Macaca fascicularis: one gene and its partners. The main gene of each other region encodes a partner of the protein of the gene in region 5 in a complex. Links are inferred from orthologs where the notes say so. Each region holds a gene or a part of one and is shown on either strand. Other genes may lie near its edges. The genes, in order: MAPT, SIRT3, RELA, ANPEP, SFN, YAP1 and NOTCH4.

Evidence for each region.
Region 1: the proteins of SFN (region 5) and MAPT are in contact, whole or in part, in a crystal structure (PDB 4FL5), measured with the Homo sapiens proteins. The link is inferred for Macaca fascicularis from reciprocal best matches to the Homo sapiens genes SFN and MAPT. Residues at the interface, in NP_006133.1 of Homo sapiens: Asn42, Ser45, Val46, Lys49, Arg56, Arg60, Phe119, Lys122, Arg129, Tyr130, Glu133, Gly171, Leu174, Asn175, Val178, Tyr181, Glu182, Ile183, Ile219, Leu222, Asn226, Leu229, Trp230; in NP_058519.3 of Homo sapiens: Arg528, Thr529, Pro530, Ser531, Leu532, Pro533, Thr534, Pro535.
Region 2: the proteins of SFN (region 5) and SIRT3 are in contact, whole or in part, in a crystal structure (PDB 8ANC), measured with the Homo sapiens proteins. The link is inferred for Macaca fascicularis from reciprocal best matches to the Homo sapiens genes SFN and SIRT3. Residues at the interface, in NP_006133.1 of Homo sapiens: Asn42, Ser45, Val46, Lys49, Arg56, Lys122, Asp126, Arg129, Tyr130, Pro167, Gly171, Leu174, Asn175, Val178, Tyr181, Glu182, Leu218, Ile219, Leu222, Asn226, Leu229, Trp230; in NP_036371.1 of Homo sapiens: Arg99, Arg100, Ser101, Ile102, Ser103, Phe104, Ser105, Val106, Gly107.
Region 3: the proteins of SFN (region 5) and RELA are in contact, whole or in part, in a crystal structure (PDB 7O6I), measured with the Homo sapiens proteins. The link is inferred for Macaca fascicularis from reciprocal best matches to the Homo sapiens genes SFN and RELA. Residues at the interface, in NP_006133.1 of Homo sapiens: Glu14, Tyr19, Leu43, Ser45, Val46, Lys49, Asn50, Gly53, Gly54, Arg56, Lys122, Arg129, Tyr130, Gly171, Leu174, Asn175, Val178, Glu182, Ile219, Leu222, Asn226, Leu229, Trp230; in NP_068810.3 of Homo sapiens: Ala43, Gly44, Ser45, Ile46, Pro47, Gly48, Arg50, Ser51.
Region 4: the proteins of SFN (region 5) and ANPEP are in contact, whole or in part, in a crystal structure (PDB 7AEW), measured with the Homo sapiens proteins. The link is inferred for Macaca fascicularis from reciprocal best matches to the Homo sapiens genes SFN and ANPEP. Residues at the interface, in NP_006133.1 of Homo sapiens: Asn42, Ser45, Val46, Lys49, Arg56, Lys122, Arg129, Tyr130, Gly171, Leu174, Asn175, Val178, Glu182, Leu222, Asn226, Leu229, Trp230; in NP_001141.2 of Homo sapiens: Ala60, Ser61, Ala62, Thr63, Thr64, Leu65, Asp66.
Region 6: the proteins of SFN (region 5) and YAP1 are in contact, whole or in part, in a crystal structure (PDB 6G6X), measured with the Homo sapiens proteins. The link is inferred for Macaca fascicularis from reciprocal best matches to the Homo sapiens genes SFN and YAP1. Residues at the interface, in NP_006133.1 of Homo sapiens: Lys11, Glu14, Cys38, Glu39, Asn42, Leu43, Val46, Lys49, Arg56, Lys122, Arg129, Tyr130, Gly171, Leu174, Asn175, Val178, Glu182, Leu218, Leu222, Asp225, Asn226, Leu229, Trp230; in NP_001123617.1 of Homo sapiens: Ala125, His126, Ser127, Ser128, Ala130, Ser131, Leu132, Gln133.
Region 7: the proteins of SFN (region 5) and NOTCH4 are in contact, whole or in part, in a crystal structure (PDB 7OR3), measured with the Homo sapiens proteins. The link is inferred for Macaca fascicularis from reciprocal best matches to the Homo sapiens genes SFN and NOTCH4. Residues at the interface, in NP_006133.1 of Homo sapiens: Lys49, Arg56, Arg60, Lys122, Arg129, Tyr130, Glu133, Gly171, Leu174, Asn175, Val178, Glu182, Leu218, Gln221, Leu222, Asp225, Asn226, Leu229, Trp230; in NP_004548.3 of Homo sapiens: Arg1914, Arg1915, Phe1916, Ser1917, Ala1918, Gly1919, Arg1921.

What each region holds. Positions count from the first base shown.
Region 1 is NC_088390.1:67,473,562-67,477,807, reverse strand, and holds the start of MAPT (microtubule-associated protein tau), read right to left. Parts: upstream 2,801-4,246; 5' UTR 2,668-2,800; exon of another isoform or gene 2,227-2,667; intron 1,981-2,226; exon of another isoform or gene 1,725-1,980; intron 1,215-1,724; exon of another isoform or gene 1,090-1,214; intron 1-1,089. UniProt on the Homo sapiens protein: Promotes microtubule assembly and stability, and might be involved in the establishment and maintenance of neuronal polarity.
Region 2 is NC_088388.1:100,355-103,854, reverse strand, and holds part of SIRT3 (NAD-dependent protein deacetylase sirtuin-3, mitochondrial), read left to right. Parts: intron 1-2,945; coding exon 2,946-3,155; exon of another isoform or gene 3,156-3,500.
Region 3 is NC_088388.1:8,704,989-8,709,219, reverse strand, and holds the start of RELA (transcription factor p65), read right to left. Parts: upstream 2,801-4,231; 5' UTR 2,715-2,800; coding exon 2,708-2,714; intron 2,235-2,707; exon of another isoform or gene 2,093-2,234; coding exon 2,066-2,092; intron 1,976-2,065; coding exon 1,824-1,975; intron 1,723-1,823; coding exon 1,574-1,722; intron 98-1,573; coding exon 6-97; intron 1-5. UniProt on the Homo sapiens protein: NF-kappa-B is a pleiotropic transcription factor present in almost all cell types and is the endpoint of a series of signal transduction events that are initiated by a vast array of stimuli related to many biological processes such as inflammation, immunity, differentiation, cell growth, tumorigenesis and apoptosis.
Region 4 is NC_088381.1:74,267,736-74,271,868, forward strand, and holds the start of ANPEP (aminopeptidase N), read right to left. Parts: upstream 2,801-4,133; 5' UTR 2,756-2,800; coding exon 2,139-2,755; intron 1,632-2,138; coding exon 1,489-1,631; intron 1,385-1,488; coding exon 1,245-1,384; intron 788-1,244; coding exon 661-787; intron 578-660; coding exon 423-577; intron 170-422; coding exon 56-169; intron 1-55. UniProt on the Homo sapiens protein: Broad specificity aminopeptidase which plays a role in the final digestion of peptides generated from hydrolysis of proteins by gastric and pancreatic proteases.
Region 5 is NC_088375.1:208,247,659-208,250,672, reverse strand, and holds SFN (14-3-3 protein sigma), read left to right. Parts: upstream 1-1,219; 5' UTR 1,220-1,283; coding exon 1,284-2,030; 3' UTR 2,031-2,514; downstream 2,515-3,014. UniProt on the Homo sapiens protein: Adapter protein implicated in the regulation of a large spectrum of both general and specialized signaling pathways. Binds to a large number of partners, usually by recognition of a phosphoserine or phosphothreonine motif.
Region 6 is NC_088388.1:101,116,948-101,121,131, reverse strand, and holds the start of YAP1 (transcriptional coactivator YAP1), read right to left. Parts: upstream 2,794-4,184; coding exon 2,473-2,793; intron 2,095-2,472; exon of another isoform or gene 1,628-2,094; intron 1-1,627. Other genes in the region: uncharacterized protein, read left to right, coding at 2,792-3,020, 3,078-3,727. UniProt on the Homo sapiens protein: Transcriptional regulator with dual roles as a coactivator and corepressor. Critical downstream regulatory target in the Hippo signaling pathway, crucial for organ size control and tumor suppression by restricting proliferation and promoting apoptosis.
Region 7 is NC_088378.1:139,487,097-139,491,298, reverse strand, and holds the start of NOTCH4 (neurogenic locus notch homolog protein 4), read right to left. Parts: upstream 2,801-4,202; 5' UTR 2,662-2,800; coding exon 2,598-2,661; intron 1,828-2,597; coding exon 1,746-1,827; intron 1,547-1,745; coding exon 1,251-1,546; intron 87-1,250; coding exon 1-86. UniProt on the Homo sapiens protein: Functions as a receptor for membrane-bound ligands Jagged1, Jagged2 and Delta1 to regulate cell-fate determination.

The DNA of each region.
Region 1 (4,246 bases), on a different chromosome or scaffold from region 5:
GCAGTGGCCCAACCAAAGCGCCAACACATTTCAAAATGGAGCGAAATCGCAGAAGCGCGGATTGTGCTTTGTTCCCAGCATTGGGCTAAATGCGCTCATCCCCACCGGGCTCCCTTTCCTCCAACGGCAGCAGGTGACATCTCTGCTCGAGATGGCAATAGGCAGCCTTGACCGTGGGCTCCCCTTTTCCAGGGCCGTCCCGAGACCCTCACTCCATCTGGAACCGGAATCCCGCGCCCAGCTCTGTCTGGGGGCGAGGGAGGAGAGAAGATGCTTGAACTGACCCCTGAGCCGCTCTGCAACCCCTCGCGGTGGCTCAGCCATGCGGGAAGCCTCGCAGCACTCAGGCTCCAGCCCTCGACGCCACCGTCGAGGAAGGTCAGCCTGGTCCCGGGCGGGCTCTAGTTCCCCAGTCAAGCCATTCCCCGGAAATTCAGATCAACCTGGGCAGCCCGCGTGGAGGATTCAGCTCCTAGATGCTCGTTCGTCTCAGAAGTGCGCCCCCCCGCACCAGTTTTCAGCGATAGAATTAACCAGAAAACGGCGCGTACCAGGTTCATCACAGGAGGGCGAGGCTCGGATGCCTTGGCCAGGAGTTCTCCTTGCAGCCCCAGACTCGGTTTTGGGGGTACGGTGAACTTGGATACGGGTGAAATCCCGCATTTACGATAAATAATATTAATCAGTACAGACATAATATTAATAAAAATACACCCAAGGGCTGCCTATCTGCGGCCGCCAGAGGCCAATTAGAGTCTCAGGTGCAGGGGTTGGGGGCTTCCTCCCGTGTCCTCCAGGAGGCCAACTGGGCGCGGCCCCGCCTACCCCAGGGTCCCCAATCTCCCCAGGGAAGGGGTGGGGCCAGCCCCAAGGTCCCCTCTCCGGACGCCTGTGGTTCCCATGGCAATTCCCCCTCTGTGCCCCCTCCAGTGGGCTCAGAAAAATGGGTGTGGCCGCAGCACCAGTAACCTTATGCCCCCTCCTCACATTCTCCCGCCAGGCGAAGCAACAGGGCGTAAAGCTGGAGAGGCCCCACCGGGGCTCCCCACCCATCCCCGAATGGGTAGCCAGCGTCCCTCGTTGGGCAACCTGGTGTGGCTTGGCCCTCAGGACACTCGGGGTGTTGGGAGGGGCGTGATCCCTCTGCCGCCGCCCGCAGCGCAGCACGGAGACTCGAATCCCATCCCTTCAGAAGCTTCCTGGCGCCCGCAGACTCCGAGACGAGGCTGCGCGCGGTCACGCCCGTTCCATGCGTGCCGGGGGTCGGGGGGTTGACTCGGGTTCGTCGACCCCAGCAAGCCTCGAGATCCAACAATGGGCTCGGAAATGAGGAACGAAAAAGGAAAGAGGTGCTTGGGGGTGGGGGGAGGTTGGCTAAACACCCTCAGAATAAAAGCCAGAAACCAGGGCTGGGAGCGCAGATCACGTAACCTCTACAGACAAAGCAAAGAGCCCCCGAAGAAGGTGCTGGGTGAACGCCCCCAGCGCTCACGCCCGCAGCAGCAAAACGCCAAGATTTCAGCGCTGATTGTCCCCCTCCCTTTAATGCCAGGCCCCGCCCTGTCCTACGAAGCCCGGCCACCCGGTTTGGCATGGCACCGTAAAGACGTGACACGCCGAAAAAAGATGGCACCTCGGGAGTGGGAGGAGGCACAGCCTATCCTCCCCCCTCCTCGCCCACCAGGATCCACACCCACTGCCGCAGTGAGGGGCGAGCCCTGCGCGCCAGCCCCGCGCCTCCGGCAGGGAGCGCACACGCCGGGCACCCTGCGCGCGGAGCGCTGAGAAAGAAACCCGCCCCGAGATGCACCTGCAGCCCCGCGCCCGTCAGTGCATGGCTGCTGCTGTGCCTGCCCGCGAGCGGGGACCGGCGGCCGCCGACTCCGTCCACATCGCCAGGCCAGGTGACCCCTGCCTTTGCGAGCGTGCACACTGGGATCCTCGCACTGTTCTCAGGCACGGCGCTGCTCGCGTCTCTGTGCCAGGCGTGCGCAGGGGGAAGGGCAACTAAAGTGACAGCGCCTGGACCCCTCCCCATCTCCTCGATTCCTCCCAGCCCCCAAATGTCCCCTACGGGTTTCTGAAGGAGGAAAAGGGGAGGGGGCCGGCCCCCGCCTAAAATCAGGGGCAGTGAAGGCCCTGTCGGAATCACTGCTCGGGAGGTAAAGGGAGGGGCGTGCAGGGAGTCAGTCATCTTTTCTAGAACCCGATCCACATCTTCCTTAGGGCTGATGGCGAACAGCGGCAGGGACAGCGGATTTCAGGTTCGGTTTCGGGGGTCGTTATCGGACCCCTCCCCCCCACGCACGCCCATTGCGGCAAAAGACTGCGGTCGAGAGTGAAGGGCAGCCCCCTCCCCCAAGTCACCGCCGCCGCGCCCCACCCTGCCGGCACGGCCTCCACCTGGGGTCGGCGCGAAGCGGGTGAAGACCCTCCAGCACACACACACGCGCGCACTCAGGCGTGCGTGCATCCCTTGCTCACGTCCCTTTCCAGGCCGCCCTGGCCCCAGCCCCCGAGCAGGGGAGGCAAGGAGGGGCCCTGCGGTCGCCCCGACCGATGCCCGGCGCACGAAGCCCCAGTCTGTGGAGGCTGAGGGCGAGGGGCGGCGGCGCAGGGGTGCACAGGGGCGGACGGCGAGGCAGATTTCGGAGCCGCGGCGCTTACCTGATAGTCGACAGAGGCGAGGACGGGAGAGGACAGCGGAGGAGGAGAAGGTGGCTGTGGTGGCGGCGGCAGAAGGTGGGCGGTGGCAGCGGCGCTGCTGTTGGTGCCGGAGCTGGTGGGTGGCGGTGACTGCGAGGGCGCGCGCCGGCGAAGAGGGCGCGTTCCCGAGGCCGGCAGGCGGCGCAGGCGCGAGCAGCGGGAGCGCGAGCCTCCCCAGGGGAGGGGGCGGGCAGCCCGGCCTCCGCGGGAGCCTTCTCCTCCGGCCACCAGTGGGCGCGCGCGAGCGCCCTGCCGCTCGGCTGTCCGGCGCCTCCCGGCTGGTTCCTCTCGGCGCTGCCCTTTCCCGGTGCCCCTCCCCCTACGCCTCAGGCCGCGGCGCTGACCGCAGCGCGCACGCGCGTTCCATGGCGCACGCGCACTCTCCGCCTCCCATAGCTGGAGCCTTTGTCTCGTTGGAGGGGTGGGTGTCTTCCTTCGGGCCCTGCGGGGTCGGGGCAAGGCCAGTGACTCCGCCAGTGGGTCCCCTGCCCCTTTCCTTTCAGTCAGCCTGAGGCGGTGTCCTCTCCTGGAGAGGTCCTGAGCGACCTTCCACGTGGCCAGCTCCCCAGTCCGCCCACCCCGACCCTCCGAGTCCCGAAATCGCCCCCCTGGCTAAGGTCGCTTTTCCCCAGGCTGCTTCCTTTCTCCTTGCTTTTTTCCCATCTTTTTTGTTACTGACCAAGGTGAATCCTTTCCTTAACAAATTCACTTAAAGCAAGCTAACTCAGTTACAATACAGTAGAACTGTACTTTAAAAAAAAGTATTTGGATCTATGATGTATGTAACCGTGACGCTAGAAAAGAAATCTTAAATTAGACCAAATTGAAATAGTGCTTAACACATCGCAGAACATTTGCACACACAGTTATTTGTATCACGTCTTTTGAAACATCTTTATGCTGTAAGTAGAGTTTGAAGTCTGAATGTTTAAGGGCCAGCTGGAGATTGTCCCCTGGAAGAGGCATCTCAGCCTGAAACTGACCAGTGGTCCTCATTCTACTGGTCACCCAGGCCCCAAGCTTCGGCCTTAGCTTGGATTTTTCATTTCCCCAACGTCAAATTTAAGCCCTGGCAGTGGGCGGATTTCTATGTATGGGGGTTTAGGGCAGCCGTCTCCTCCTAGGGAGATGGGAAGTTGTCTTGAAGCTCCAATTTGCATGGTTCTTACATTATTTTTTAAAAACCAACATATGTTATAGATTAATAGAAAAAGCAAGTAAAATGCTTTATTCACACTGAGTTTCTGGAACTGACCTTTTTCTTTCTTTCTTTTTTTTTTTATCCATATTAACTTTATTTTTAAACAGAGGGGCATATATCCAAAGAAGTAGGAGTGAGAACCACCGTGGGGGCTTGCTGAAAGCGATCTGCCCTAGCCTTCTGACTTCAGAATGTCTCATGAGCCAATGGCCTGGGGATGGAACTGCCCCTTGATGGTGTACACCTTAGAAAAGTCAATGGAATTGACCTTTTTTTGGAGACAAGGTCTTGCTCAGGCTGGAGTGCAGTGGCACAGTCATAGCTCATGGCAACCTTGAA
Region 2 (3,500 bases), on a different chromosome or scaffold from region 5:
GAAGTGAAATGAAAATGGCCTTTTTCCTTATTATAAGTACCATGTGCGTCTTTGAAAAGATTCATACAGGGCCGGACACAGGGGCTCACGCCTGTAATCCCAGCACTTTGGGAGGCCGAGGCGGGCGGATCACGAGGTCAGGAGATCGAGACTATCCTGGCTAACACGGTGAAACTCCGTCTCTACTAAAAAAAAAAAAGATACAAAACATTAGCCGGGCGTGGTAGTGGGCGCCTGTAGTCCCAGCTACTTGGGAGGCTGTGGCAGGAGAATGGTGTGGACCAGGGAGGTGGAGCTTGCAGTGAGCTGAGATCGCGCCACCGCACTCCAGCCTGGGTGACAGAGAAAGACTCCGTCTCAAAAAAAAAAAAACAAAAAAAAAGAAAGAAAATATTCATACATTATATAAAGATATAAAGCAAAGAATCAACTTTTTAATCCCACCAACTGTTAGCATTTTATTCTGTGTCCTCTCAGGTTTCTTTTTCTGTACAAATGCACACGTACAGATGGTAATTTTTAACTAAAAGTTGGACAGCACTGTACATTCTATTCTGCAGCCTGCTGTTTTCATGTAACAATGTGAGTCCATGGAGATCTGCTGCCTTGTTAATGCTGACAGTTTCCCTTATACGGATATGAGGTCCCACCTGAGAGGCCCATGTCTGTAAACACGGTGCCATCGTGAACTGAACGAGCTGGTGTCACGCATGGACTCTGTCTCATGTGCTTTGTGGACGAAATATTAATGTGTTTGACTATGGAGTACCACTCCGGATCCCCTTTAGGTGTGACATAGTATGTGGGGTGTAAACCATATGATCTTTTTTAAAATCTCAAAAATTCTGAAACATATTCAGCCACAAGAGCTTTAACATAGATTTTGTGGATTTAATACAAAGTTTATGTAAGCAATTTCTTACTGATGGACAATGACAATAAATTGTATATAATTTTTGTATTAAAAGTAATGCTGGGCCAGGCACTGTGGCTCACACCTGTTATCCCAGCACTTTGGGAGGCCAAGGCAGTAAGATTGCCTGAAGCTAGGCATTTGAGACCAGCCTGGGCAGTATAGTCAGACCTCATCTCTACAAAAAATAAAAAGATAGCCAGGTGCGGTCTGTGTAGTTGCAGCTATTTGAGAGGCTGAGGCAGGAGGATTGCTTGAGCCCAGGAGTTTGAGGTTATAGTGAACTATGATCATGCCACTGCATTCCAGCCTGGGCAACAGAATGAGATCCCACGCTGTAGCAAATATCCCTGTGTGTCACCCTGACCTACCCATGCAAGTGCTCCTGAAGGGTAAGTGCTGATAAATATTGAGAACTTGCCTTCCAGAAAGATGTAACAATTACATTGCCACAAACTGTGTTTTTGTGTAGCCATTTTCTCACATCCTCACCAAAACCAAAATCACACAAATCAAATTGGTTAAAAAATGCATGTGTGTGTGTGGAGGGGGGTGTGGATTTTGCATTTCTGTAGTAAAGAATGAAATTCATCTTTTCATGTTTATTGGCCAGTTGTGTTTCCTCTCTTTGGATTGTATATTTATATCTCTTGTCCATTTTTCATTGGGTCATTGTAAATTAGCAATATAAATTAGTTTTAATTTTAATAGAAATTAAATAATATAAATCAATTTTAAGGTTAATATAAATTTCTTTTCTTTTTGTTTTGAGACAGAGTTACGCTCTGTCTCCCAGGCTGGAGTGCAGTGGCACGATCTCGGCTCACTGCAACCTCCACCTCGCAGGCTCAAGCCATTCTCCTGCCTCAGCCTCCCGAGTAGCTGGGACTACAGGTGCCTGCCACCACGCCCAGCTAATTTTTGTGTTTTTAGTAGAGACGGGGTTTCACCATGTTGGCCAGGCTGGTCTTGAACTCCTGACATCAGGTGATCCACCTGCCTTGTCCTCCCAAAGTGCTGGGATTATAGGCATGAACCACTGTGCCTGGCTATTAATAGAAATGTCATTATAAATTAGTTCATACATTATATGTTTATAAATGAGTTTATCAATTAGCAATATAAACTATTGTCATATGTTGTAAATATTTTTGCAGTTTATGAGAGGTTTTTAAAAATTTTTAATTTTCTACATAGTAGTTTTATGTAGATACTGATGTAATAGTATTTACATAGTCAGATCTGTCATTTTCCTTTGCCTTATCTGACTTCAGTTTTCACATCTAAAATGTTTTTCCCTATCCTTACTTGTAAACTCTCAGTTTTCTTCAAGAACTGTTTTGTTTACATTGAAACCTTTAATCCATTTGAATTTTTTTCAATGGGAGGTAGGAATGGAGCATTTTCCTCCCAGATAATGAGCCAGTTTTAATGCCATTTATTAATGTGTCCATTTTTTACCTTGTTCCTCTTAAAAGACGCTTTGAGAGTTGTATGAAGAAGCCTGATGGCACCGAGCTAGGCCTCTCTAGAGGCTGGGTGGTGAAGACCATGGAGAGACGTAACAGTAACTCCTGCTTGGGGGCACCAGCTTGTCTGGGTGCCCGATGCTGGTGGTGGCTGTCACTGCAAGCAGGGCTAGCCAGAGGAGATGGACGAGTCTGTGCTGTCGTCCCTCTGTGGCATGCGGAGACAGCGAGCTGGGGAGGACAGGGAGAACAGAACGTGCTCACAAAGAGGAGGTAGGAAGGTTGGATCCCTGGTGAGCCTTGGAACGGAGGTGGGGAGAAGCAAGGATGTGTGGAAGCAGCAAGGAGTGGAAGAGAGGGAGGCTGAGGGGAGGAAAGAGAGTCACTGAGGCCAAGCGGCAGGAGCTCAACTGAAGAAATGAGATTGGTGGTGGGTTTTCTGTGTATCGCCGGGTCTGACTGCCAGTCTGCTGCTCCTCCAAGGCCTCAGTGGCTATGGCACGAAACATCCTGCGGGGCTTGTAGGGTGGACACTGTACCCTCACATTTGGGCCATTTTTCAGGTGGAGCCTTTTGCCAGCTTGACCGAGGCCGTGCGGAGCTCTGTTCCCCGACTGCTCATCAACCGGGACTTGGTGGGACCCTTGGCATGGCGTCCTCGCGGCAGGGACGTGGCCCAGCTGGGGGACGTGGTTCACAGCGTGGAAAGGCTAGTGGAGCTTCTGGGCTGGACAGAAGAGATGCGGGACCTCGTCCGGCGGGAAACTGGGAAGGTACAGACGCTGAGGAGGACCATCCAAGGGGCTGCCCTCCTCACTGCTCTAGGGTGTGCTCCATCTGGTATGGAGCCCCACTGGCTAACACGGTAACAGTCGTAACCGATGATGCTGTGAATCCTGCACCAGGCGCTACCTGGACCTGATTGGGTATTACTTTCAATAACTCCATTTAGAGATGAAGAAACAGATGGTAACAGGCCAAGCAGGGACACGGTCCAGACACTCAGGGCTGATGAGTCTGTACTCTTAACAGACTGTAGGCGTTATCTTCACTCCCTAAAGTAAAGCAGCCAACAGTGTTCCTCTAAGGCCTGGTATGTGATTCTGAGATGATACGGG
Region 3 (4,231 bases), on a different chromosome or scaffold from region 5:
CTCACCTTGGAAGGGATTGTTGTTCGTCTGGATGCGCTGAGTGATAGCCTGCTCCAGGTCCCGCTTCTTCACACACTGGATTCCCAGGTTCTGGAAACTGAGCACCCCCAGCCATCTGTCCCACTGTCTCTCACACAGCCCGGACCTTCCTGCCTTGCCCAGTCTGCTCCTTCCTCCCCCACCCACCCCCAGACCATCGCTCCATGCTTGACCCCCTCCAGTGGCTTCCTACTGTGCTGCAATGAACCCTGTCCCTTCCCTCAGCTGACAAGCACCTCCGTGCCCCCGCCCCTGCCAGCCTCCCCGTGGGCTCCCTGCTTACAACCACAGGCGCTTCTTTTCCATTCTCTAAACACAGGACACTCATTCCCACCTCAAGGCCTCTGCACTTGTTTGGTCGGCTTGGAATGTTCTTTTCCTACTTCTCTCCTCCTTCTCACCATTCAAGGAGGGAGGCCTTCCCTGACCTTCCAATCTAAAGTCATCACACCAGCTCCCGTAACTCCCCCACCCCAGGTTATCCTTCTATCCTATGACTTTGTTTTATTTTCAGGACTGAAATTGTTACTCTGACAGCACCTTGTTTATTTATCTGTGTATTTATTTATTTTTAAGAGACAGGGTGTTGGGCCGGGTGCGGTGGCTCACACCTGTAATCCCAGCACTTTGGGAGGCTGAGACAGGCAGATCATGAGGTCAGGAGATTGAGAACATCCTGACTAACATGGTGAAACCCCTTCTCTACTAAAAAAAAAAACGCAAAAAAATTAGCTGGGCGTGGTGGCGGGCACCTGTAGTCCCAGCTACTTGGGAAGCTGAGGCAGGACAGTGGTCTAAACCCGGCAGATAGAGGTTGCAGGGAGCTGAGATTGCGCCACTGCACTCCAGCCTGGGGACAGAGCAAGACTCCGTCTCAAAAAAAAAAAAAAAAACACGACAAGGTGTCGCTCTGCTACCCAAGTGTCGTGGTGTAATCATAGCTTGCCATAGCGGTGACCTCCTGGGCTCAGGTGATCCTCCCACATCAGCCTCCCAAGTAGCTGGGACTATAGGCACAAGTCACCATACCCAGCTAATTTCTTATTTTTTTGTAGAGATAGGGTCTCACTATGTTGCCTTGGTTAGTCTTGAACTCCCAGGCTCAAGAGATCTTCCTGCCTTGGCCTCCGGAAGTGCTAGAATTATAAGCATGAGCCACTATGCCTGGCCTGTATATTTTTTTAAGGCCTGTTTCTGTCAACTGCAATGTCACCTCCAGGGGAGAGTGTTGGTTCAGTGGTTTTCTTTCTCAAACAAGAGACATGACTCCAAGGGACTTGTCCTTCCAGCTACAGGGGTCAGGGATTCAGAAGTGATTAGGGACCCATCCATATCCCTTGGAGCTCTTATCTGTGCTAGAGTAGAGGTACAAATAGATCATTTCAAGACAAAGAGAGTTTACTTGCAGAGCTGAGTCAGAGCAAGAAGTAAGCAACTCTGCCCTGTGTCCAGAAAGGAGTAACACTGTAGCGGCTACTTCATAGCCCGCCTCCTGTTCCCTCATGCTGGGCCTCCTAGCCTGCAGGGAGCTCACCTGTGGATGCAGCGGTCCGGGCAGAGCTCAGCCTCATAGAAGCCATCCCGGCAGTCCTTTCCTACAAGCTCGTGGGGGTGAGGCCGGTGAGGAGGGTCCTTGGTGACTAGGGAGATGCGTACTGTCCCTGGTCCTGTGTAGCCATTGATCTGTCCAAAGTACAGAGGCCCAGACATCCAAACCTGACTCCCAGACACAGAGGGCTGGGGTTCCACAGTCCCTTCCCCGCACACCCTGGTGCAGTGCTGACCTTGATGGTGGGGTGGGTCTTGGTGGTATCTGTGCTCCTCTCGCCTGGGATGCTGCCCGCGGAGCGCCCCTCGCACTTGTAGCGGAAGCGCATGCCCCGCTGCTTGGGCTGCTCAATGATCTCCACATAAGGGCCAGAGGCCTGGGCTGGCTCTGCCAGGGGACACCGCAGGCCCATTAGACAGCTGCCCCCGCTGCCCTACCCCAGGGAACACCTCCCGGACCGCTGCGGGGGCCACTTACCTGCCGGGAAGATGAGGGGGAACAGTTCTGAAAGGGGAGGGAGATCAGGGTCAGCACACACCCACTGCCCATCCTCACAAGGGAGTATCTGCTCTCCACAGAGAAGAGAAGCCAGGCTCCCTCCCAGGGGAACTGAGTAAGGACCTGCTTCCTAGAACCTGCGGTGAAACTAAGGAGTGGAGGAAAGGAACCAGAAACACCTGCTTCTTGAGGGAAAACGGGGTAAGGAATCCTTCTCCCGAGGGAAGCCGAATCAGGGCCTGTTGTACTTTCATAAGGAAAACTGAGGGAGGGCACGCCCCACCTCCATCCAGAGAGGAAACTGAATCAGATGCGTTCTCCCCTAATAGGGAAACGAAGCCAGAGCTGCCCCCATGGACGGTGTGGAGGGAAACTGAGTCAAGGCTCCCTCTGCTCCCCCACCCAGGGAGGATGCTGAGTCAAGGGCCCCCCTCCACCCAGAGGGGAAACTGAGTCAGACCCCTCCCCGCCTGCCCCGCCCCGCGCCACCATCCGGCAGGCCGACCGCTCCCTGCGCAGCGCCAGTCGGCGCAGGAAGGGGCGGAAAGCGGCGCGGGGCCTCCCGCCACAGCCGGGGCGGTCCCGGCGCGGCCACCCCGCGGGGTCAGAGGGCGACCTCACCGTCCATGGCCGGGGTCCCGGGGGCGGGGCCGGGGTCGCAGCTGGGCCCGCGGCGTGCACTACAGCCGAGCCATTCGCCAGAGGCGGAAATGCGCCGCGCGCGCCCGCCGTCGCGTCACTGCCCGGAATCCGGCCGCGCCTGCGCGCTGCCCCGCCGCCGCCCGGCGAAGGGGCCGGGAGCAAGTGCGCGCCGCGCGGAGGACGAAGAGGCCGCGCGCACAGCCGCTGCCGGGGGCCGGGGCCAAGTGCGCGCGTCGCCGGGGACGAAGAGGCTGGTGTGCCCGGTGGTTCGGCTAGCTCCCGGGTCCCGGCCCCGCCTGGAGGGCGGGTCCGCCGATTACTCACTTTGTTTTTAGGGGATTTCAGGGCCCCCTCCCACCGATCGGCGGAGTTTGGTGATGTCACTCTGGGCCGGGTCTGGAGCAAAGCCCGGGCTACGGGGCTGCGGCCGCCCGCCCCGCGCAGGGAAAGGCCCAGTCGGGCCTTCTGCTCCGCAGAGGCCGGGTGGTTGAACTCCACGCCGGTTTCCTCATCGCTAAAGGTGCCTTTCGGTGGTGACTGTCTCAGAAGCACGTTAAAATGTCCAACCTACCCCACTCTAGATGCGGCTGTAGGGGAAGGGGAGCGGCCGGACCTCCCCCTCTGACAGTGCATCAGGGAGCTTTGCGGAGCCTGCAGCCCGGATGGGACAACTTGAGGCCCTCCCGCTGGCGAGCTGGCCGAGAGCTCGTCCCTCTCCAGCTAAAGCGCCAGCTTACTATGCAGCCAAACTGCCGGCCCTCAGCGGCTGCAGGAGCAGGGGGTCCCCAGGGGTAAACCCCGGAGCTTCGTCTCTGAAGCCTGGCGCTTGTATCTCAGAAGGTCCGGAACCCACAGGGGACACTCGAATCAGCAGGGCCACAACCCCCAACCCCACTGCCCCCGCCTGTGTTTGCCCTGGACCTCCAGCTAGGGCTGACCACTAATTCTGTCATGTGACCCCACAGTGCGGGTAGCTCCCCCAAGACCAAGCCCAAGGCGCGTCCTTGTGGGGGCTGGGGCTGGCGCAGCCCCACCTCAGGCCTCATCCCCGAAGGAGGATGCTCCAGGGGGCGGAGTCTTCTCCAGATGGAGAAAGACTTATTTTCTCTGAATTCGTCTTGAATTAGGAAATCATGTGGGAATTGGAAAAGATTGGAAATTCTGACTTGTTTCCCAGGCTCTGAAGAAACAGGAAGAGAAAAGTGAAAATAGAGTTAGCACCCCGCCCACTCATTTCAGTTTCTCCAGTGGCTGGCCCTGATTAGAAAAGTGTTTACTTTTGGCAGGGGGCGGGGAAGGCCGACTTCAGTTGAGCGAATGGATGACATACAATTATCATTAAACCTTGCATGGATCCTCTTCTTAAAATTCTTGTATATTTATAACTTTTAAATTAATACCATAAACACCCGTGTACCCATTGCAAAACTTAAGGGACCACCACCGTGCAGAATTCTGCATTGTATTGTATTGTATTGTATGTATTTATTTTTTGAGACAGGC
Region 4 (4,133 bases), on a different chromosome or scaffold from region 5:
GGTGGCCCAGGTCTCCCTCCACACCCCCCGACTGGACCCCAGGGCAGCTGCTCACCAAGTTCCAGGTGGGCTCTGCATAGTCAGCACCCAGGTACTCCACGTAGGAGGCAAAGCCCTCGTTCAGCCACAGGTCATTCCACCACTCCATGGTCACCAGGTTCCCGAACCACTGTGGGGGGAGGGGTCAGCTGGGCAAGCCACGCCCAGGCCAGGCACTGAGAGTCCCCAGAACTACCCTCCCCAGGGCTGGCCACCTGCCAGGCACAGTGGGGATTTCACCAACCCCATCGTGACCCCTTCCTGCTGCCCTGTCAGGCGGCACCCTCCTCCCTTCTCAGCAGCCTGGGGCGGAGCCTGGACCTGCACCATCTCCTCCTGGAGCCCCCGTTTCCTTCTCTGCACTCCCCGAGATGGGGGTCTACCTGGTGGGCCAGCTCGTGAGCAATCACAGTGACCACCCGCTCCTTGTTGCTGCTGGAGGAGGACAGCGGGTCGAACAGCAGGGAGTTCTCCCGGTAGGTCACCAGTCCCCAGTTCTCCATGGCGCCGGCGTTGAAGTCAGGCAGGCCAATCTGGTCTGGGGAGGCGAGGCCATTGGCAGGATGGCCTCCGGGAGTGGAATTCCAACCACTGCCTCCCTCCTCGAGGACCCCCACTCACCTGATTTTGGGAGTGGGTAGGGTGTGTCATAATGACTGGCAAAGAAGTTAAGGATGGGGCCTGTCACGTTCAGAGCATAATCGCCGTGACCCGCCGCAATGGCACTGGGCCGGGCCCAGATCCGGATCTGCAAGGTGTGAGGAAGAAGCAGGCCAGGGGCCCCTGTTTGATCCTGGGGCAGGTGGGCTGGGTCCCAGGGCCCAGTGGGCCAGGGGGATCCCCGATGGGCCAGGGCTGGGGGTCAATCAAGCTAAACCTAGAGACCTGGTCAGCAGAAGGAACACTAGGGGGGCCTGGAAGCTGTGGGTCCTAGAGAAGGGCCTTTGGAGAATACCAATTATCATAGCCACCGTCTGTCTGGTACTGGCGGGTCAGAACTCCCTTCATGAGGAGAAACCATTGTTTTCACTTTTCAGGTGCAGAAATAGAGAACCAAAGAACAAGACACTTGCCCGAAATCACTCAGAGCTGGGATTCAAACCCTGGCCTAACGATTCAGAAATTGGTACAGGGATGAAGAGAACAGGAAGACCCCTCAAGCCAGGGCCAGCCCAGGTGAAGGAGAGATGGGCCCAGCCTCATACCAAGACATCATTGGATGCCTGCGTCTCCACGTAGGTGAACTCGCTGACAATGAAGGCCAGCAAGTACGTGGACATCTTGGGCGTGGTGTGGAACTCGGTGACACTCCAGTTGGGGTCTTCTGGAAGTGGGGTGCTGGGACCTGGGCACAGAGCATGCGTGTGTGAGGATGCACCCTCCTGCCCCATACCCCAGCCCCAGCGTGCCTGCCCCCTGGCCGTGTGGCCTCAGGCAGGGCCCACTCACCTTTGGGAAGCATGTTGGACAGGGCTGTGAGGTCCTTGGGGTGGATAAGCGTGATGTTGAACTCGGCCTTCATGGCCGGTTCATCAAAGCATGGGAAGGACTTCCGGGCATCTGGGGCCTCCATCTGTGTTGTGGCCACCACCCTGCCCCAACCAAAAAGTTAGAGGGTATGCCAGGGCTGAGGGTATGGGAGGGGATCTGAGGATGCTACCAGTCATGCAGGGAAAGGGGTACATGGAAGGCTGCCCCAGCCTAACCCCTTCTCCTGCTCCCGCTCCCGCCTCCCCTGGGAGCCTCCAGAGCCCTGCCAAGCCAGCTGACTGGTGGGGGTTGGGGCTCCTTCTGGATTTGGGGTGCCAGCAGGCTCTCAGGGACCTCTGGTGAGTTTCTCTCCTCTGAGCCTCAGTTTTCCTGCCTGTCCAAGGGACATTCCGTCCCTCATCCCCAGCTTCCTGGTGAGGGGTGGGGAAGCCCTCCCAGTTTGGTGTGTTGGCAGCTGCTCTGCCAGCAGCTGGAGGTGAAGCAATGGGCCAGCCTCGGGCTCCACAGGGTTCAAAGGCCTGCAAGTTAAGTCCTTCCTTGGCCCTCAGAATCCAGCCTTGCCTCGGCACCTCGGATCCACCCCACCGGGTAGCCCAGCCGACACTCACTTTTTGACATCGCCCTCCATGTACTCGCTGCGGTAGAAGCCCTTCAGGTCATCTGCCAACTCCCCCTCAAACTCACTGTCCATCTCATATTGGCTGTCCTTCACCAGGGAGCCCCTGAGGTGCACCACCAGGTACTCAGTGGGCTCCACCAGCTCGGTTCTGTCGATGTCGGGGGGCTGGGAGCCTCCCACTCCACGCAGGACCACCCTGTGCCCCTGGCTGAGGGTGTAGTTGAGCTTCTTGCTGTGGATGATGATGACGTCGGTGGCCTCCTTGCAGGTGAAACGGACGGTACTGGAGCCCTTAAAAATGTATAGGCCCCTGTCATCGGGGGTGAGGTACGGCCTCAGCGTCACCTGGTAGGAATCGGGTTTCAGCGTGTTGGGGAGGCGGTAACGGTTCCACAGTATGCTTTGGTCCAAAGTGGTGGCCAAGGTGGGGTTGCTGGTGGTGGCTGAGGCAGACGGGGTGGTGGAGGCCTCGAGGGAGCTCTTGGCATTCTTGTTCTTCTCCTGGGAGTACACCACTGACAGTGCGATGATCGTGCACACGGCCGCCACGCCCAGGAGGATCCCCAGGATGCCCAGGGACTTGGAAATGTAGAAGCCCTTGGCCATGGTGATGGTGGGGAGGCGGCTCAGGGAGCCTCAGGCCAGGCGGAGAACGGAGCAGCCCCAGGCTGGGCTTATATCCCTGAAGGGGAGGAGCCCCACAACAGGCAGACTGGGCAAAAATTAACCAGGGCTCCAACAGGCGAAGGTCACTGGACTGGGCAGGGGCACACTCTGCCTGGGGAGAGAAGATCCAGGAACAGTGTGTAGAGCTGGGCTTGGGGGTGCCTGCTGGAAGCAAACAGTGTCTGGTTACAGGCTGCAGGCAGCCTGGGATCAGGCCTGAGGGCTGAAGGGCAGGCTGCCGGCTAAGGGCCCAGCAGGCAGAGCAAGTGGCCAGGTGGCATTGCATTGATCTGCTTGAGAGCTGAGAGGGTGGGAACAGCATCAGAACTGAGGTTAGAGTCAGGAAAGGACTTCCCAGAGGCGAGAGATGGGAGGTGCACAGAGAAGGGTTCCTGGCTCCTATTAAGAACACACTGGGGTCACCCCTTTGGTTGTATCTCTGGAAGGATGCCAGGAGCTCCTCAGTGACAAGGTCCCAGCCTCCCTTTCATTCTTCAAGAGCACGGAGTTCCTCCAGGTTCCCCTCCCTGCCCCTTCTTGCCAAATACTTTTTCCTCCATTATCAGCTCACGGAATAAAATGAATTGAGTTGTTTTGCTTTTTTGCTGAAGGCTTCATCTCTTTCCAGCTGTGACCTTGAGCAGGTAACTTTACCCTTCTGAACCTCTCTCCTCATAAATAAATAACAGTATTTGCCTCTCAGGTTTGTTGAACAGATTTAATGAGAAAACACATTAAACACCAAATAGTATAATGATTAAAAATCATTCCCGGCTGGGCGCGGTGGCTCATGCCTGTAATCCCAGCACTTTGGGAGGCTGAGGTGGGTGGATCACGAGGTTAGGAGTTCAAGACCAGGCTGGCCAACATGGTGAAACCCCATCTCTACTAAAAATACAAAAAAATTAGCTGGGCGTGGTGGCAAGCGCCTGTATTCCTAGCTACTCAGGAGGCCGAGGCAGAGAATTGCTTGAATCCAGGAGGCAGAGGTTGCAGTGAGCTGAGATCGCACCACTGCACTCCAGCCTGGGTAACAGAGCGAGACTCCGACTCAAAAGAAAAAAAAAAAATCATTCCCTTCTTTTTTACCCAAAGCTCAATGATTGCCTCTTTCTATCCTTGGTAGAAATGAAGATATTGCTTACCATACTCAATAAAATACACACCTTACAGGAAAATTATGTTCATTGTCACTTTCCCCATCCACCAGCCCAGTTTCTCAGACCTCGACACCGCCTGACCTCATTCCACATCCAATTTACTCACATTCCCCCATCGCAAGATGCACTTGTCAAAGCCATTCTCATCATTTATGTGG
Region 5 (3,014 bases):
ATTGCTGCCCCATAAAACAGAATGGTATGTGTCACTGCCACCTCCCTTTCTCAGTCCTCTCTCTCCCCAGGTTGCTAGCGTCCCCCCTGGGGGATCAAACTGGACTGCTTCCCAGCCTCAGACAGAGAGCAGTCTGAGTCAGGCAGGAAAGTGGGACAGCCGGGGAGCTGGACCCCACCCTCTGTGAACCCCACTGGTACCTGATGGCATGTGGCTTGGAGAGGGCAAGTGACCTGGTGTGGAGGGCCAGAGGGTAAATCCTCAAACAAGTGGCAACAGGCCACCAACTTGAAAGGGAAAATTGTGTAGTGATGGGAAATGTGTCCAACAAACCTACTGGGTGACTAATTACAAAGGCTGGGCTGGAGCGTCAGAGGCTGCTTGTTAAACACTTCATTAAGTGGCACTCTGAAAGCTGCCACCTGCGCATTCTGGGAGCTCAGAGGGGACCCTGAGGGGGAGTGAGGCCTGAGGGATGGAACCATCTTCAGGTAGATTGAGAAAGAGCCTGGATCTCACTTCCAAACACAGCCTGGAGCTCATAGGTCAGAGACTTCAACGGGAGAAAAGCTAAAGGAAGCAGGGTGCAGAAAGGAGTTTCAGGGAAGTGGTGGCTATGTGACTTTGAGCAAATCTCACCCCTCTCTGAGACTTAGTGTTCCCATCTCTGTGGTCCTGTGTGTGTCACAGAGACACAGTGGGGATTAAATTCGATGGTGAATATGAAAGTGCTTGGGAAACTCTATGGCCCTACCTAAACATAAGTTATCCTCACCTGAATCAAGGGGAGAAGTTACCTGGCAGGATTGGGAACCCCATCCTCCTGAACCTTTATGGGCTCTGTCGAGGCAGAAGCAGCCAGGGGCTAAAGCCGCCCTTAGCCTCTGTAAGGACGCTGTGAAGGAGGATCTGATTTGAGAAGCCAGGCAGTTTCCTGATGTGAGCAGCCATATGATGCCAGCCCCGAACAAGAGGGGGCAGCCTAGAGCCTGGAAAGGTGCCTGTGCAGGTGGGGCCCACGCCCAGATTTCTTCTGCTGACTGTTCTGATGACTCACCCCCACATCCCAGCCTTTTTACCTTGACTGCAGAGCCGGAAAGGGTGTGGGGAGGAGAGGAGAGGGAGGCAGGTCTTGGGCCCTGGTCCCGCCCCCTGCTCCTCCCCACCCTTCTCTGGGCCTGGCCACCCAGCCAAAAGGCAGGCCAAGAGCAGGAGAGGCACAGAGTCCGGCATTGGTCCCAGGCAGCAGTTAGCCCGCCGCCCGCCTGTGTGTCCCCAGAGCCATGGAGAGAGCCAGTCTGATCCAGAAGGCCAAGCTGGCAGAGCAGGCCGAACGTTATGAGGACATGGCAGCCTTCATGAAGGGCGCCGTGGAGAAAGGTGAGGAGCTCTCCTGCGAAGAGCGAAACCTGCTCTCAGTAGCCTACAAGAATGTGGTGGGCGGCCAGAGGGCTGCCTGGAGGGTCCTGTCCAGTATTGAGCAGAAAAGCAATGAGGAGGGCTCGGAGGAGAAGGGCCCCGAGGTGCGTGAGTACCGGGAGAAGGTGGAGACTGAGCTCCGGGGCGTGTGCGACACCGTGCTGGGCCTGCTGGACAGCCATCTCATCAAGGAGGCTGGGGACGCGGAGAGCAGGGTCTTCTACCTGAAGATGAAGGGCGACTACTACCGCTACTTGGCCGAGGTGGCCACTGGTGACGACAAGAAGCGCATCATCGACTCAGCCCGGTCAGCCTACCAGGAGGCCATGGACATCAGCAAGAAGGAGATGCCGCCCACCAATCCCATCCGCCTGGGCCTGGCCCTGAACTTTTCCGTCTTCCACTACGAGATCGCCAACAGCCCCGAGGAGGCCATCTCGCTGGCCAAGACCACTTTCGATGAGGCCATGGCTGATCTGCACACCCTCAGCGAGGACTCCTACAAAGACAGCACCCTCATCATGCAGCTGCTGCGAGACAACCTGACGCTGTGGACGGCCGACAACGCCGGGGAAGAGGGGGGCGAGGCTCCCCAGGAGCCCCAGAGCTGAGTGTTGCCCACCACCGCCCCACCCTGCCCTGCCCCCTTCAGTCCCCCACCCTGCCGAGAGGACTAATATGGGGTGGGAGGCCCCACCCTTCTCCCCCAGGCGCTGTTCTTACTCCAAACGGCTCCGTGGAGAGGGACTGGCAGAGCTGAGGCCACCTGGGGCTGGGGATCCCACTCTTCTTGCAGCTGTTGAGCGCACCTAACCACTGGTCATGACCCCAGCCCTGCTCTCCGCACCGCTTCCTCCCGACCCCAGGACCAGGCTACTTCTCCCCTCCCTCTTGCCTCACTCCTGCCCCTGCTGCCTCTGGTCGTAGGAATTGAGGAATGTCCCGCCTTGTGGCTGAGAACTGGACAGTGGCAGGGGCCGGAGATGGGTGTGTGTGTGTGTGCGCGCGCGCGCCAGTGCAAGACCGACATTGAAGGAAAGCATGTCTGCTGGGTGTGACCATGTTTCCTCTCAATAAAGTTCCCCTGTGACACTCCTCCTGTCTCTTTCCAGTTCTTGGCGATGGGTTGGGAGTGGAACTGGAATCTGATTTAGAGATCCTGACTTTCGACCTCTGAGTTAGGGCCCTGACCTCCCTGGGTGGCTCAGTGACCTGCACGCAAGACTTTGAGTCCAGGTGAGGCCGGGGTCCGGCTGTCTCCATCAGGGCGGCCCCAGTCAAACTGGATGGGACCGGGAGGGTCAGGTGAACCCACAGGAGGCGCCGAGCCTCCTCTGCAGGGCCGAGGGGAGGTGAGTGGGAGCCGCAGCGCGGGAGGCTGACGAGCTCAGGTGGAGCGGGACAGGAAATAGTGAAGTCTCCGGCATGAGATCTAAGGACAGCGCTGCAGTAGTGAGCGGCACTGAGCACCCGATTTACAGGCGGGTCACAGTCTCATCAAGGGCTCAGATCTCAGCGGAGGGAAGTACGATTTGAGGCAGGGGTGCAGTGCCGCCATAAAAGCCCAGATCTTAGGAGAGGGTCACGTCCCAAAG
Region 6 (4,184 bases), on a different chromosome or scaffold from region 5:
AATAAAGAAATCATAACAAATTACACAATTTTTAATGAAAGCAACAAATTTGAACTGCCCAAATGTTCTTAAAAGCCATCTACAATGAACAAGATGAAAAAAACTCAACTATATATTTGTATGTAGAAGATAATGAGGTTATCAGTCCAATTATAACTTAAGAACTCACAGACATTCACAACTCTATACAAGCAGAAAAAATTCTGCATTCAGACCCCAAAGATCTGAGTTCCAGTCTAAGCTGGCTAGTGTGACACTGAACAAGTATGTTAACTTCCATATGCCTGTTTTCTCGTTTGTAACATAGTTTTCAAGACAGAAAAATGGATGTATATAAAACAACTTATAGTCACCAGTTTGTGTTGTGAACAATAGTATTCACAACCTACATTCTACTATTCACAATCTTGCATAGTTTTTAAAATGTGTCTAATTAGAATTAAGAGTTTGATTATCAAAAAGTTAGAATTTCCTAGATTCACAAAGGTAAGGAAACCGGAAGGACTCAGTAGAGTCATTAATGCCTTAAAGTGATAGACCTTTCTGAGTGTCCCATCAGAATAAGTATGATTTAGAAAATCACTAGCAGAAATAAAAGTCCAATTTACAGATGAGCAACACTTAGTTAAAAACTTATTAAAAGCAAAACTGTAATAGTTTATGAATTTTAGAACTGCTGGATATAAATTCTTGTAAAAATTACCTACTAGAAGAAAAAGTACACTTTCCAGTTGTGACTCTTTGTCACAAAATGGGGGATCCAATCTATGTGTAGTATACTTTGAAAAAATACCGTGTAGTCTGCAGGGTGCATGCCAACACACATTTACTTACAATGAGTCCATAAACCAACTTCCAGGGGTAAGAAAAAAAGCATACCTAAGTCTATTTCTGACAAATTGAACTGTTTAGGCAAGCAGCTAAATTGTTTTTCCTTCCTTCCTCCTCCTTAACCCGGGTTTTTGTCATCAGGTTAAGTGAGTTTTTCTGAGTTCCAAAACCCTGTGGTCTCTGACAGAAGAATATACAACAGGCCCGCAAATAGGACAGAGGATGGGAGTGGGGGCGGTAACTCTTCTTTCCACTCAAGTTACAGCCCGAGTAGGCTAACTACATTGCAGTATTTGGAAAACCTATTAACTTTTGGGCAAAGTTCCTATGCTGAAGTTTAGCCTGAAGCAAGTTCTTTAAAAAAAAAAAAAAGAAGAAAAAAGAAAAGAAGGAAAAAGAGAGAACCCTACACTAAACAAAACCACTGGGACCTATCGGAATGTTAACACTCTCATTATAAATAGTTTCACTTCTATGCTGAATCAAGCTGGCAAAATAATCGAACGTTGTGTATGTGGAAAAGCAGCCATGTTCATATCCGCAATAAGAATTAAAAAGCAATGGCGATCCTAGAATTAGTCATCGCTTCCCAAACATTAACTTTTAATCACAGTTGAACTAGGCAGGACTTGGCCTATGAGTCAACCCGCAGTGTATTATCAAAGGCTTGTGTTAAAACCTCGGTACTGTAAAGCGCAACTCAGTTCCTGCGCAACGTACAGATGTGGCTAATTCAAAAGCTTTTCAGCCGACTGTAAATAATAGCCTACGATCGGGAAACCAACACGCAACCTACTAAGTTTGATAAGAGCGAGCCGACCCAAGTTCCAAGACACAAGGGAAGCGCAGGGGTGAAAGAACTCCATAAACAACTTCCAGGAAAGTCTGGGCAGGGGAAGCCCGAAACCTGTATTCAGAAATCGCCTAAGCCGCGAGGAAAATAAATGCTTACGGGAGGGGGAGGCAGAGGGGGAGGGGAAATGGGTAGGGGGGAGGGAAAGAAAGAGCAAAAAACTAAATGGACCGGTTCTACCCCCACCTCTAATCAACACTGGAAAACAAGAGAACAATTATTTGACTCCCCCAGGAGACTGAAGTGGACCGAGAGGCCGCAAAGGAAAGGGGCCCAGGGCTCAACTTCACAAACTCGGCCGCCGCTGGCAACTCACCCACACACAAATGCCAGAGGCCCCCCTCCCCCTTTCCCGGCCCGGCCCCGGCGGGAGCGAAGGTGCGGAGCGCGCGGAGGCGCGCGCATTGTGCAAGCCCACCGCGGCCCAGGCTCGGCTCTCCCCCACCCCCTTCCTTCCTCCCCACCCCTCCTCCACTCCCGCCAACCTCCCGGGAACCCCGGGAAGAAAGAAAGGAAGGAGGGAAAGCACGCCCCCCGGGGCCGCAACCGCAGAAAGAAACTCCGAAAGGAAAAACAAATCTCAGCCCCGGACTCTGGGAGGAGTGGGGAGCTGGTCACCGCGGCCGAGCGGACGACTCCAGTTCCTCCACTTCGCCGCGGGACCCCCACCCCAGCTAGAGCTCCCGCAACCCCCTCCCCTGGCCAGAGCTGGCGGCCGCGGCTCCCGAGCGCCCCCCCGGTCTGAGGCCCGCCCGACGGGGAAGCGGGGAGAGGGGCGACAAGGTTACCTGTCGGGAGTGGGATTTGGGCTCCGGCGGCTTGAAGAAGGAGTCGGGCAGCTTCCGGAGCCTCATAGGCACGGTCTGGGGCACGTTAGCCGTCTTGGGGTTCATGACGGCGTTGAAGAGCGCCTCCAGGTCGGTCTCCGAGTCCCCGCGGACGTGCACGATCTGATGCCCGGCGGGGGGTGCCTGCGGCGCCGCCTGGGTCGCCGCGGGTGCTGGCTGCCCGGGTCCGGACGGCGGGCCCTGCCCCTGGGGGGGCTGCGCAGGCGGCTGCCCTTGGCCCTGGGGGGCCGGTTGAGGCGGCGGCTGCTGCCCGGGATCCATGGCTTCTGCCTCCCCCGACGCGCACCCCCTAAACCAGGCGGGCGAGGGCTCCGCCCGGACGCCCCGGCTCCACAGGCCGAGGTGGAGAAGCGGCGACGGCTGCGGGCCGGGCGGTGCTGGGCGGCGGGAGCGACGCTCTCCTCGCTCTCAGGGCCGGGGGGCTGCGCCGCGGCCCCGCATCCCCCGCCCCGGCGCCTCCGCCCCCGCCCTGCGCCCCGGCTCCACTGGTCTGGCGGCTGCGCCTCGGGAGGGGCTGCGAGGGACTCGGACCTGCGGCGCCTGAGAACTTTTTCCCTCCAACTCCCTTGACGGAGGCCGGACAGCTCGTTGCCTTTCCCCTCCTCCCCCTTTCTCTTTTATTTCCTTTTCTTGTTCCTTCCTTCCTCCCTTTCTTTTCCCTGGCGGCGGCTGCGCCCGACTGAGACAGAAACTCGCCTCAGACGCCAAAACTAAAGTTGTGAGAAGCGCCCGCCCGCGCCGCCGCGGCCCCGCCTCCTCTCGGCTCTTCCTTCCTCTGCGCGCCCGCCCGCACCGCGGCCCGGCCGGCAGCGCAGGGAAACTTTTCGCTGCAAGTTGCTACATTCCTGCACACTCCCAGCCCTCCGCGCCTCTCCCGGTCGCACGTGACCCGCTCGCCCTGGTCCGGTCCGCCCTTCGCCCGCGCTCAGCCCGGCAGGGGCCCGGAGCGTGCCCCGTGTTCTACGCCGCGAACCACAAACGCTGGGTCCATTCCGAGGCCGAAGTGTGGTCTCTGCGGAGAACGCGGCCGCCCTTGGCCCCAGAAAGTCCTTCCGCCCCGCTCGGCTCCTTTTCCCGGCCCGTGCTCGGGAAAGGCGCTTCCAGCTCGCCTGGACTTGCGAAAGGACGAAGGCCGAAAGAAGTGGAGAGAGGATGTGCGAACCCACCTCCTCCTCCCCGCGTTACCCCGGCTTGACCGAGCGGAGCGCCAGTGCGGGCTTAAAGCCGCCAGGATAGATGGGAGTTAAAATAGATACGGTGAGCCGGCGCTGATGTTAATAAAGGTCCATTGTTTTCAGCATTAACTTTATTTTGTAATTCTGTTTCACTTATCTGTTAGTGTGCGAAAACTCACTTGAAAGGGTAAACGGTTACTGTAATTGAAGCTTTGAGACCAGGTCTGTGAGTCAGTGTAACTTAGTAAAAGAAACAAAAACACTACATTTTCTAAATAGTGAAATCACATCAACTGTTTTAGTACTCGAGTTTGCAACATAGTCACTGGAAGCCTCAACCCAAAAAAATCAGTGCTTCTTCAGGTACAAGCATTCATTCCTCTGTACCTGCCTTTCATCCTCAGGGAGCTGGGTGCCTACCCCTGCTATCCCTGTGCCTGGCCCAAGGGTGGACTCCGTTAATGTGGACTGAATAAG
Region 7 (4,202 bases), on a different chromosome or scaffold from region 5:
CTGGATCTGGGGGTACGTGGCCAGACACACCCCTCCATTAACACATGGGTTGGCTGAGCAGAAGTCCCGAAGCTGGCACTGCTCACCTGAGGCAGAGGACAGAGGGAGCCGTTTCTAGCACTGTGTGAATTCTAGCCCATCTGAGGTTACCCAGTGCTCACTCTGGATTATCTCTGGGTCTCATTTTCATATTTCCTTCGCTTTATTACCATACTCTCTTTGCTCTGTTCCATCACCCCTGATCTCAGTGTTGCCATGGTTTGGGAGGGTTTATCTGGAGCGACCATATCTTCTAAAGTGATGATGAGAGTATTGGAAATTGTCCTTGCCTGAGAAAATCTGGCACATGGGTGATCTGGGGGGAGGTGAAAAGCACCCCACGTCTGCAGACAGGAGACTCAGGTGGCACCTTGCTGTGCCACAACTGGTTGTATACCCTTGGGTGAGCCACTTTGCCTTTCTGATCCTGGTTTCCTCATCTTTAAGTGGGTTTAGGCACCTGGAGACTCACTTCACAGTCCATGCGCACCAGTGGTAATGGCGGCCGCCGTGGAGGTGCCAGGTGCTGAGCTGAGCAAGCACTTCCTGAGCATCGGCCCCTTGTGTCCTCTCAGCAACCTTATGAAGTGTGACCATTACTCTCCCTGTTTGTCAGCTGACAACTGAACACCAGAAAGCTAAAATATCTTATACGAGGTCATGTAGCTGGTCAGTGGCAGAGCTGGCATTTGGATCCAGGGGCTGTCGCAGAGCCCCTAGTCTGAAGCACTAAACTTGCCCCAGGGTTACACTCCTCCTCCTGGGGTGGCCCCACTCCTCTCTCTGGGTCACATCCCTCCCTTCCCGGTGCCTCTCCCACCACTGCAGTCTTCCCAGGTGATATTATGGCTCCCTCCACTCAGAATGGGAGCCATTCAGATGCTCAGAATGCAAAAGCCTGGAAGACCCCTGGTATGCCGAGCAATGACCCTCTAGCTGCTAGGCAGCAGGGAGATTAAGGGGGCTAGGATAGGCATCAGGATGGTGCACAAAGGGGGCTCATGGCACCCTTAATTTGGAAATATTTTAACATTTTAGCTATCAGTACAACCCTGCTGGTGAATGTGGGTCGTGGAGAATTGGCATGTTGATTCTCATGGCTTGTCTTCAAAGGGCTTGCAGTTTCTCAGGCTCCAGTTCCATTTTCCCCACCCACAGCCTAGCCCATTGCTCCTGCCTGTCCCCTCCTGGCTGCCCCCAGCAGCGCTTACCTGTCCATCCAGGCATGCAGGAGCACTGTGGGCGGCCTGAGGCCTGGATGTGGCAGTGGCCCCTTTTGGAACAGAAGGAGGGAGGACAAGGATCTTCAAGCTGGGCTTGGCATCTCTCGCCAGTGAAGCCAGGGAGGCAAGTGCACGAGAAGCTGGGTGCCAGTGGAGAGGGAGAGCTGGGGGGCCCTAGGGGAGCGGGAAGCAGGGCTTGGCAGCTGCCTCCATTCTGGCAGAGCTGGGCATTCTGGCAGGGGTCAGGAAACTGGCACGTCTCACCCAGGAAGCCAGGGGCACACCTGGGCAGGGGAGGAGAGGAAAACTCACATCACTGGTCCCTCTTCCCATTCTCGCCCACCTCCCTCCTCTGCCTTCATTCGTTTCCCTTCATCTCCTTCACTTCCTCCCTTTCTTCTTTGGTCTCACTTCCTCACCTCTCCCCCCGCCCTCTCCCTCCCCCTTTCTCTCCAGTCTCCCACTCCTGCAAGGCACACTCACTGGCAGGTCCCTTGTCCCAGAGACAGGCTCAGGCAGGTGCCTCCATTGGCACAGGGTTCTGGGAAAGTCCCACACAGCAGCCCTGAGGGTGGAGAGGCAAGCGCGATGGAAGCCCTAGGTGCTGTGCCTCCACCTTTCCTCTTCCGGGTGCTCCTGAGAGACCTGCCCGCAGCAGCTCCCACAGGTGCTCTAAACCACCTCTTCTTCACACCTGTCCCCACTCTCCACATGGTACCCAGCCCCAGCCCCAGTGCCCTCCATCCCAGTTACTAATCCCCACCCCCCTTTCCTGTTTATTCTCTGGCCTCCTGAGTCCGGCCTCGGACTCCATCTCTCGGAAGCAAGACAACAGGGGTCAGAAGGGGGGGCGGAGGTGGCTCCCGGGAGGTGAATGGCTGAGACTTCGAAGAGATTTCCTCCCGGAAAGGCCCAGCATTAAGCCATCCGGGGGGTGGGGACAGCTGGACTCAGAAAGGGACTTAGTAGGCCTGACCTTTCATGTCCTTATCTCCTGCTTCCCTCTCATCTCTTCCCCAAGCAGGTGGTCAGTGTGTTCCCTCTTCCCCTCTTCCCTATGGCTGCAAGAGTCCTCCAGTGCTAATGCTGATGAGGTTCTTCCTGGAGGTGGGCACCCTCTCACCCATCCCCCGGCAGTCACTACCCCTGGCACCAGGCCCAAAGCAGGTCCACGGGCACAGCCGTTTTTCCCTGCAGGCCGTCTCTACTTGGGCAGTGAGAATCTCTTCCACCCAGCGTCCCTCACACAACCTGGGGCTTGGCCCTCTTCCCCCACCCCACTGGACATCCTCCTATGGGAAATGGGTCCCCCACCTCACCCACGCCATGCCTCACCTCTGGTTATGACCACTGAGACACATAACAGCAGCAGCAGCAGCAGCAGTGAAGGGGGCTGCATTCCAGAGCCCCTTCTCCAAGCCCAGGTCCCTGTCCCTCTTCAGGCGGGGACCCTCAGAGCCCTCACTGAGGTAGGAGCCACCTCCTCTGCTCCCACTGCCCCTCTTCCTCCTCCTCGGCCTGCTGCAAGCCTCACGTCTGAGCTGTTTCCTGAGTCACACAATGTCCTGGACACCCTAGTAATGGGGGGCGGGGGAAGAGTGGAGGAACACTAGGGGGGATGAAGGAGGGGCCTTCTGTCCCTGACAACCCCTGGGGAAGTAGGGGGAAGTAGGACAGTGTGCCTGGAGGGCAGGTGATAGGAGGGGAGAAGGACTCTCGGAACCCCCGGGGCAGTCCCAGCCCTGCTGTTTGTTGATCTGGTCTCTCCTTTCTAGGGATGAGAATTGCAAGGTGGCTGCCCCTGTGCCCCAGGAGGGGCAGGATCTGGAAACAGGTATTGGGTGGTTAGAGAGTTCTGTATTCCCCTTCCCAGGAGAGGATGCTTAATTTGCTAGGTTATTACAGATGCTTATCAGAGAACCCGCAACTTGTCATAGTTTGAAACCACTCACCTTGGCAAAAGGAACCCAGGGGGCTTCTGGGCCTTATCTTGGCTCTTGCCAGGACTTATTTTTCTCCTTCTGGGGAACGGGCAAGATGCTGGCTGGTTTGGGGAAATCTTGGTCTTCCTGTATAGGGGAATGTTAAGACTGTCGTTATCAGTGATAAATGAACATAGTGTACCCTAAATTTTGCAGTCTGGATTATCTGTAACTTATCACTGAATTTGGGTAGTTTTCACTTCCTCCATCTCTGCCTCCCTCCACTGCAGACGTCCTTGGGATGTAGGGAATGCCAGTCAGAATGCAAAACTGGAGTAAATAAAATCACAAAAGCGAATTCTTTGCCTCCAAATGCTCATCCTATTTTCTTGAGTCAACCCAGGACAACTTTGGGGTCAACCACACACCGAGTTCCTCTAGTAGCACAGGGAACTGAGAGTCCAGGGTGGCAGAAGGTGTCACTGGCAGCTGTGCTCTCCCTGGTGTTGAGGCACTCATGGTTGCCGCTGGTGTACCTGAGAACTTTCCCCTACCAGGGAACATACTTCACACCGCTTTCTTCCTTTTTTTTAGTTTTTTATTTTGAAATACTTTAAATCTCATGGGAAACGGGCAAGAATACTAAAAAGAATTCCAGGATACCCTTCACTCAGATTCATCCACTAACATCATTTGACCACATTTACTTTATCATTATTTCTCTATAAATACACATTTGTATTTTTTTCTGAACCATTTGAGAGTAAGTTGCATACAAGATACCCCTTTACCCTTAAATCCATCAGTGCGAATTTTCTAAGAACAAAACATTCTTTTACATAATACAGTACAATTATCCAAATCAGGAAACTTAGACTGATGTGATACTAATTGACGGTCCAAATTCAGGTCTTGCCCATTGCCCCATAATGTCCTTCATGACAATTTTTTCCCTTGGTCCAGGATCTCATTTGGCATCCTGCATTGCATTTAGTTGTCAAGTCCTTTCAGTTTCCTT